Ovis aries: one gene and its partner. Each later gene encodes a partner of the first gene's protein in a complex. Links are inferred from orthologs where the notes say so. Each region holds a gene or a part of one and is shown in the gene's direction. Other genes may lie near its edges. The genes, in order: SLC9A3 and CHP1.

Region 1 (3,813 bases):
CATTATCCACCCGGGAAACGAGCAGGTGGGGCCCTGCTCACCGAGGCCGTGCATACGTGCCGGATGGCATGGCCTTGAACTCAGCCTGCTTTCCCCGTGCCTCTGTGCTCCACAGGCTGAGCTCCCGGTGTTGGGGGCGATGAGGGAGGTGGGGCTGCTACCACCTCCCTGGGCAGCAGTCTCAGCTCAGCTTCGGCCTCAAACACTTCCACCAGCAGAACCAGACAAGGGACAGGCCCTCTGACAGAAAAGCAAGCACCCCGAGCCCCCCCCAGTGGGGCTCATGACCTCCCTTGAAATCACAGTGACAAAGAAGACACATTGAGAAACACACTGAGGGCTAAGGCACCCCATCTGCAGGAGTCACCTAGGACCCTGTCCTCACCCCGGACAGTGCAGGCTTCCTCAAGTCCCCACAGCCATCCGGCACCATCCCCAAGCGCAGCCCTGGAAGCCCCCCGAGGCTGGCGTGGTGCCAAACACACCCGGCCAGTTCTCCCCAACGCCCGGGCCACAGGGCCCATGCAGGTGACATTAGACTGCCATCCCTGGTGGTGCCCTCAGGTAGTTGGGACAACCTAAGGCCACTTCTGGCCCCCAGGCCAAGGGAACGTTCTGGGGTTTGGCTCCCTGAGGGGCCACGGCCGTCTGAGGCCTGTGCTCCGTCCTTGGGATGGAGTGGTCATGGCTGGGTGTCAGCCAAGGTCATGGAGCAGGGCAGTGCCCAGGGGACACCCAGAGCCCGGCCCTGCAGCTGGCAGACAGGGATTGGTCTCTGCTGTCAGCCCGCTCCTGGCTCTGAGGTCTGCCCCAAGGCTGGGGGACACTGCCAAGGAAGGGTCAGCCTGGGTGGCCACAGGTGGGCCAGGCAGCAGACGTCCTGAGGGCATCTGGGCACAGCAGCCCAGCACCCAGAAACCCCGGGCCATCAAGAGGCCCCGCGGGTGGGCAAGGCCAAAGTTGGGGAGGGTCCCGGAACACACAGTCCAGCAGCCACAGTCCTGTCCCTGGGACCTTCCTGGCATGGCCAGCGCGGGGAGGACTGGCCCTCCAGGTAGGAGGGCTCCCCCTGACGGCCCACTCGTCTTCCAGGAGACCTGAACATCGGGCTACTGGACTTCCTCCTGTTCGGCAGCCTGATTGCCGCCGTGGACCCGGTGGCCGTGCTGGCCGTGTTTGAGGAGGTGCACGTCAACGAGGTGCTGTTCATCATCGTCTTCGGGGAGTCCCTGCTCAACGATGCTGTCACCGTGGTGAGTGCCCAGCAGGATGCACCTCCTGGTCCTGTTCCAGGGTCTCACTGCTGGCATCCCAGCTTCGGCTGCAGGCCTCGTGTCTGCCCTTGACTGTGGAGTTGTGAGTGATCACAGTGTTATGGGGATTGAGGAGGGGAACTCAGCCAGGCCCAGTGTGCCCACGGCCTGAGGGCTGGCGGTCCACGTCGGCTCTGGGTAGCCCAGAGAAAAGGGTGGCCCGTTTGGATATCAGAGGCCATCCTCCCCACACCGGCCATGGGCTCTGGAGCAGTGACGTCCCAGGGGCAGCACAGAGGGCTGGTCAGCAGTGTGGCTGAGCACCTGCCTGGGGTCTCCTCAGCCCTGCAGTTTCGCAGACATAGTGGGCATCCAGTCTTCTCTTTGCTCTAAAAGCCCCTCCATGTCCTGTAAACGCGTGAACTTCTGCCCAAGCCAGGAAGCTCCTCCCTGGTTCCTGTGAGGCTCGTCTTCCTTACGGAGGAGGAAGCGGGAGAAGCAGGGCGCTGCGCCCTGCTCCCCCAACCTTCACAGCTGTGCCATCCCTCCGGCGCAGGCCCCATGCAGCAACACCACCAGATTTCCTTCCATAAACACAGCTTTGCGATCTGCCCCATGAGGGCCTTCTGCCCCCTGGAGAGCACAGACCTGGAGACACAGGAACATTTCTTCCCAAGGGCCCCACAGCCCCCCCCGACCTGGGTCGCCCCCAGGCCCCTCCCCTGGACGTGGAGCCAGCGCATCCTTCAGGAGCTTCGCTCAGAGCACAGCGGGCACCTCCCACACATACAGCCCTGCGGCCTTGGATAAGGTGTTAGGCATTTATCACCACGTCATAGCAGGATGTGGAGAAGGAAATGGCAACCCACTCCAGTACTCTTGCCTGGAGAATCCCATGGAGGGAGGAGCCTGGTAGGCTACAGTCCATGGGGTCGCAAAGAGTCGGACACGACTGAGTGACTTCAATTCACCTCACTTCATAGCAGGATGAGGTTTGAATGTCAACAGGCAAAGATGCCAGGGGTGCGTCCCCACTGACGGGGGCCGCATAATGGCAAAGTCGCAGCAAATGAAACTCTGGTTGTGTCTTGGGAAGCAAACTAAAGATCATCACAGCAGGCTGGCTTTGTGGCCGCCCTGCTTCACTGAGGGTGGGGAAGGCCAGGTTTTCTCTGAGGGTTCTTGTTCCTCCCAGACTGTCCTCCCACCCCAGACCCCACACTACTGCCCCAGATGAGTTTGCCCTGGCGGTTTTCAGTTTCCCTTCAGATTGCTGCCATGGTCTCCTCACTTGGCCCAAGTCTCACCAGGCCTGGGGCCCGAGACGGGGAGGAGTCAGTGCTGACCGCAGGCTGACGGGGTCCTGTCTGTCTGTGTCCCCGCAGGTCCTGTACAACGTGTTTGAATCTTTTGTGACTTTGGGTGGTGACAAGGTGACCGGCGTGGATTGCGTGAAAGGAATAGGTGTGTGGCTCGCCAGTTGTGTTCCAGCGGGGAGCCAGGGCCAGTGTCTTCTCCGGAACATGGACCCCGTGGGGCAGCATCTGTGCCAGGCTGGAACCCACAGCCTGTGCAGGAAAACATGCTTCCATTTCAAAGTCTTGGTGACAGGCCCCCGCCCTCCCCAGCAGGTTACACTAATCTGGTTTCCCAGGCCCCAGCCACCCTGGGTGGCGAGGATCATTGCCCCCACAGACCCATGGGAGGACGTGGATCCTGTATCTGGGGTCCTGGGAATCCCTCTGGGCAGGGACAGTTACAGATGGCATTCCTGGGAGCCCAGAGCCTGGTCCTTGCTGTCAACCCCCCACCAATGCTGCTGGTCTCAGCGCTGCCCCCGCAGTGGGGTAGCCGGGCCTCCTTTGGTGCAGTGCTTTCCTCTCCCCGTGGAGCCAGAGCCTCTGTCTGCTGAGAGAATCAGCCTCTTGTTTGCTGAGCTGCTGGTGCCTCTGGGGTCACCCGGGACCTCAATGGGGAACAGTCAGTCAGTCAGGCCAGCTCGCCCACGCCTCGGCCACAGAGGGCCCCTCAGAGGCCAGCGGCACTCCTTGTCCTTGCAGTGTCCTTCTTCGTGGTGAGCCTGGGGGGCACGCTGGTGGGCATCGTGTTCGCCTTCTTGCTCTCCCTGGTGACACGCTTCACCAAGCACGTGCGCATCATCGAGCCTGGCTTCGTGTTTGTCCTCTCCTACCTGTCCTACCTCACGTCTGAGATGCTGTCCCTGTCGGCCATCCTGGCGTGAGTCCCTCCTCGCTGATCGGCCACCCACCAGCCCCCGCATGCCCGGCGGACCTGCCCTGGGGAGGCCTGGCCACTTCCCCGGGTGGGGCGGGAACTCGCTATGGGGGAGAAGAATTTGATCTATTTAGTCTTTTAATTAAGGAGTTGGCGTCTTCATAGAGCTCTCCAGGGGCTGCAGCACCTGCTCTGCCCCCACGCAGCCTTTCCCAGGGCTCTGACCCGCAGAGCTGCCCCCCTCCCCTCCAGTGTGGGACCCAGGCCCCCAGAGGCCCACAGACAGTGTCAAGGTAGCCAGCCCAGGGCACCAAGCCCCTAGGAG
Region 2 (2,993 bases), on another chromosome or scaffold:
AAGATATCCTTTGAGGCTTTTTGGCTGTTATATTAGAGGACATCAAAGGAACAGAGGGTGCAGGTGGCTTTTTATTTTTCAAATTTTAGTAAGAGAGTCCTCGTGACCCCTAAGTCTCTCGTAATTCCTGGCTCTCGGTCCTGCAGGTGCTACGCATGATGGTCGGAGTGAATATCTCAGATGAGCAGCTGGGCAGCATTGCAGACAGGACCATCCAGGAGGCTGATCAGGATGGGGATAGCGCCATCTCTTTCACAGAATTTGTTAAGGTCAGTCACTTACCTCTTCGCTTGAAGAACTTAAATACTACTATGCAGGAGAGAGGGAGAAAAACATTAGAGAAGAGCTTGAAACAGCATCTCCTGTTGTAACCTTCGTAACTGTAGCTGGGTTTGTTTTTGTTTTTTTTTAAACAGGTTTTGGAGAAGGTGGACGTAGAACAGAAAATGAGCATCCGATTTCTTCACTAAAGGACTGAGACCAAACTATTCCTTGCTTTCTAGTATTTAAGAACTGGAACTTGAAACCCCTCCTATCCACCAGCCCCACCTCCACCCCATCCTTCCCCTTCTCCCAAAGTACTACTGCTGTTGCATGACAACCCCAAATATGTTCTGTCAACGCAAACCTGCCTTTGGTGTATAAATAGGGCATTACAGAATGGTACAGCCAGTCTAATTCTGTTTAGTGTTGTTCGCCGGATATCTCCATTTCTAAATGTCACCTTCCCTTGTTCTGCTGCTGAGTGCCATGCATCCATCCAGTCTGAGAAAGTGAGAGGGAATCAACCGAAGAACAGCCAGCAAAGCTCTTTGGCTGGATGTGAACCGTAGCCAGGCTGCCTTTCCGCCAGCTTGGCTTTGGCATGCTCCTTCATCCTTTTTTGTATGTTCTTTGCTTCCACTTCTCTTCTCCCCAACCTACCACTCTCTTAGTCTTTCAGTATCCCTGGTTTTTATTAAGCTTCCATCCTCCCTGTTCTACTTGGCATCCTCAGTTACACCTGTTAAATATATTTCAGACTTGGCAGTATAGTTCAGTGATCTGGCAGTTTTTAATCTACCTTTACTCTTAAATGGGTATCTGGGATGTTGCCTCCCCAGGAGCTCTTTAGTAACCAACACTTCTCTCAGAAGAATGTCTTGACCATCTCTTGGTCCCCTCTGCTCTGTCACCAAAGGGCTGTTGGTTAGAGAAGCTCTTGAAAGATAAGAAAGATAAGAGGTGTAGAGCCAAGTCTTCTAGGTGGCTTGCCCAGGTCACTCTACCTCTGGCCTCTGACTCTCAACACACATACCTACATGGCTGCTCTCGTTAGTACAGTGTTGATTCTCTAGAAATTAGCCGTATGCCTGCAGCTTGCTTCATCTGAGGATAATGTCACCACCAGAATGGCTGCTCTGACCGTTTGCTTGGTGTCTTTCTCATGGCTTTTTGAACAAGGAGGCTGGGCACCCTAAAATATTCCCACCTCTACAGCATGGTTTATGCCTTAGTGTGATGTGCCCTGGAATTCTTTTCACTTCACATTTCTAAGTAGAAAGATAAGTGCCTAACTTATCCCAGGCCATAAGATTTAAAAATTGTCCTCAGTGTCTTGAGGTTTTGCACAAAATTCTCTCTGAATTTTACACCTGGAACAAGTTAATGCCGGATGCCATAGTCAGGTCTTAATATAGGTCCAAAATATTGAATGTATTGTATCATTAGCAGCCTGGTTACATTGACTTCCTAGTTCCTCTCGTACACTACTGCTAATCCCTTAGGAATGAGAGCTCTGGCACTGGTGACACAACCTGAAGTGGCATTACAAGCCTTTGCTTGAACCAGAGCAACTCCTCTGCCCCAAGGAAGCTTAGTATGGATGTCACTGAATCAGGCTGTGGTCATCCTAAGATCTGTCCTTATGCATCTCTTCATCCATATATCTGTCCTTGGCTGATTCTCTCTGACTCATTGCTTGCTTGCTTCTTTCCTTGCTTTGGAAGGCTATCCAAGATGTATACACACTACTTTATGAAGGGAATTGCTTAAAAAAAAAAAAAAAACTGCAAAGGGTTTGGGAAGAGTGCTTAAGAAAGAGTGGCCAGGCTGGATGACTCAAGTATAAATGAGAGAGGATTTCATAGAGAAGTATCAGTGTGACTTTGTGATCAAGTGATGTAATATAGGAATTGTATAAAAGGGAAGAACTGTCCAACACTGGTCTGTTCGTGAGGTACTTCAGAGGCTCCTTGACCTGCATATTTAAAGTTCCTAAGATGATGGCCTTTTCCTCCTCTTGGCTGTGTAGCAAACTGTTTTAATCCACGGTTGTGCCTTATTGTTCCATTAAAATTGTACTCTTCGATCCATCAATAAATACTTGTGGTTAAAACAAAACAACATGGTTGATTTTTGTCCTCATGTTTTATAAGTATTTTTCATGACTCAGTCCCTTTCTTCAGGTTTGAAATCATGTGTCTTCTTTACTTGGCTTTATGTCTGTGCTATCAAATGCATTTATTTGAACATAATTGAGCATGATGTGAGATTCTGTCAGCATTTATATCTGCTGCTGCCTGGACATACAAGGCAGAGGTGTTCGTCTAGTGGCCAGCACTGAATGCATCTGAGTGTGATTGACAGCCTCGGCCACTTCCCACTCTTTCCAGGTTGGATTCTATTTCTGTTCTTGAACCCCTGACTTCTTAAATGTAGAAGAGGTCTAAAATGGGGTATCTGTCTATTGCTTGTTATTAATTTGTCCACAGTCTAAGTGACATAGTATGCCCAGCTATTCAGTTCAGTTCAGTGGCTCAGTTGTGTCCGACTCTTTGTGACTCCATGAACCGCAGCACACCAGGCCTCCTTGTCCATCACCAACTCCTGGAGTCCACCCAAACCCATGTCCCTCAAGTCAGTGATGCCATCCAACCATCTCATCCTCTGTTGTGCCCTTCTCCTCCTGCCCTCAATCTTTCCCAACAAAAGGGTCTTTTCAAATGAGTCAG

Evidence for each region.
Region 2: the proteins of SLC9A3 (region 1) and CHP1 are in contact, whole or in part, in a cryo-EM structure (PDB 7X2U), measured with the Homo sapiens proteins. The link is inferred for Ovis aries from reciprocal best matches to the Homo sapiens genes SLC9A3 and CHP1. Residues at the interface, in NP_004165.2 of Homo sapiens: Tyr396, Arg397, Met398, Gln400, Glu402, Arg474, Leu475, Asn476, Glu477, Leu479, His480, Gly481, Arg482, Ala483, Phe484, Asp485, His486, Ile487, Leu488, Ser489, Ala490, Ile491, Glu492, Asp493, Ile494, Ser495, Gly496, Gln497, Asn501, Arg504; in NP_009167.1 of Homo sapiens: Arg30, Leu31, Arg34, Leu38, Lys40, Glu49, Phe51, Gln52, Arg53, Ile54, Glu56, Leu57, Ala58, Ile59, Asn60, Pro61, Leu62, Asp64, Ile66, Phe70, Phe83, Leu87, Phe90, Leu115, Phe117, Ala118, Leu121, Tyr122, Leu135, Leu139.

Annotation. Positions count from the first base shown.
Region 1 is NC_056069.1:71,676,268-71,680,080, forward strand, and holds part of SLC9A3 (sodium/hydrogen exchanger 3), read left to right. Parts: intron 1-1,092; coding exon 1,093-1,253; intron 1,254-2,638; coding exon 2,639-2,717; intron 2,718-3,313; coding exon 3,314-3,491; intron 3,492-3,813. UniProt on the Homo sapiens protein: Plasma membrane Na(+)/H(+) antiporter. Exchanges intracellular H(+) ions for extracellular Na(+) in 1:1 stoichiometry, playing a key role in salt and fluid absorption and pH homeostasis.
Region 2 is NC_056060.1:34,960,653-34,963,645, forward strand, and holds the end of CHP1 (calcineurin B homologous protein 1), read left to right. Parts: intron 1-146; coding exon 147-371; 3' UTR 372-416; coding exon of another isoform or gene 417-470; 3' UTR 471-2,382; downstream 2,383-2,993. UniProt on the Homo sapiens protein: Calcium-binding protein involved in different processes such as regulation of vesicular trafficking, plasma membrane Na(+)/H(+) exchanger and gene transcription. Involved in the constitutive exocytic membrane traffic.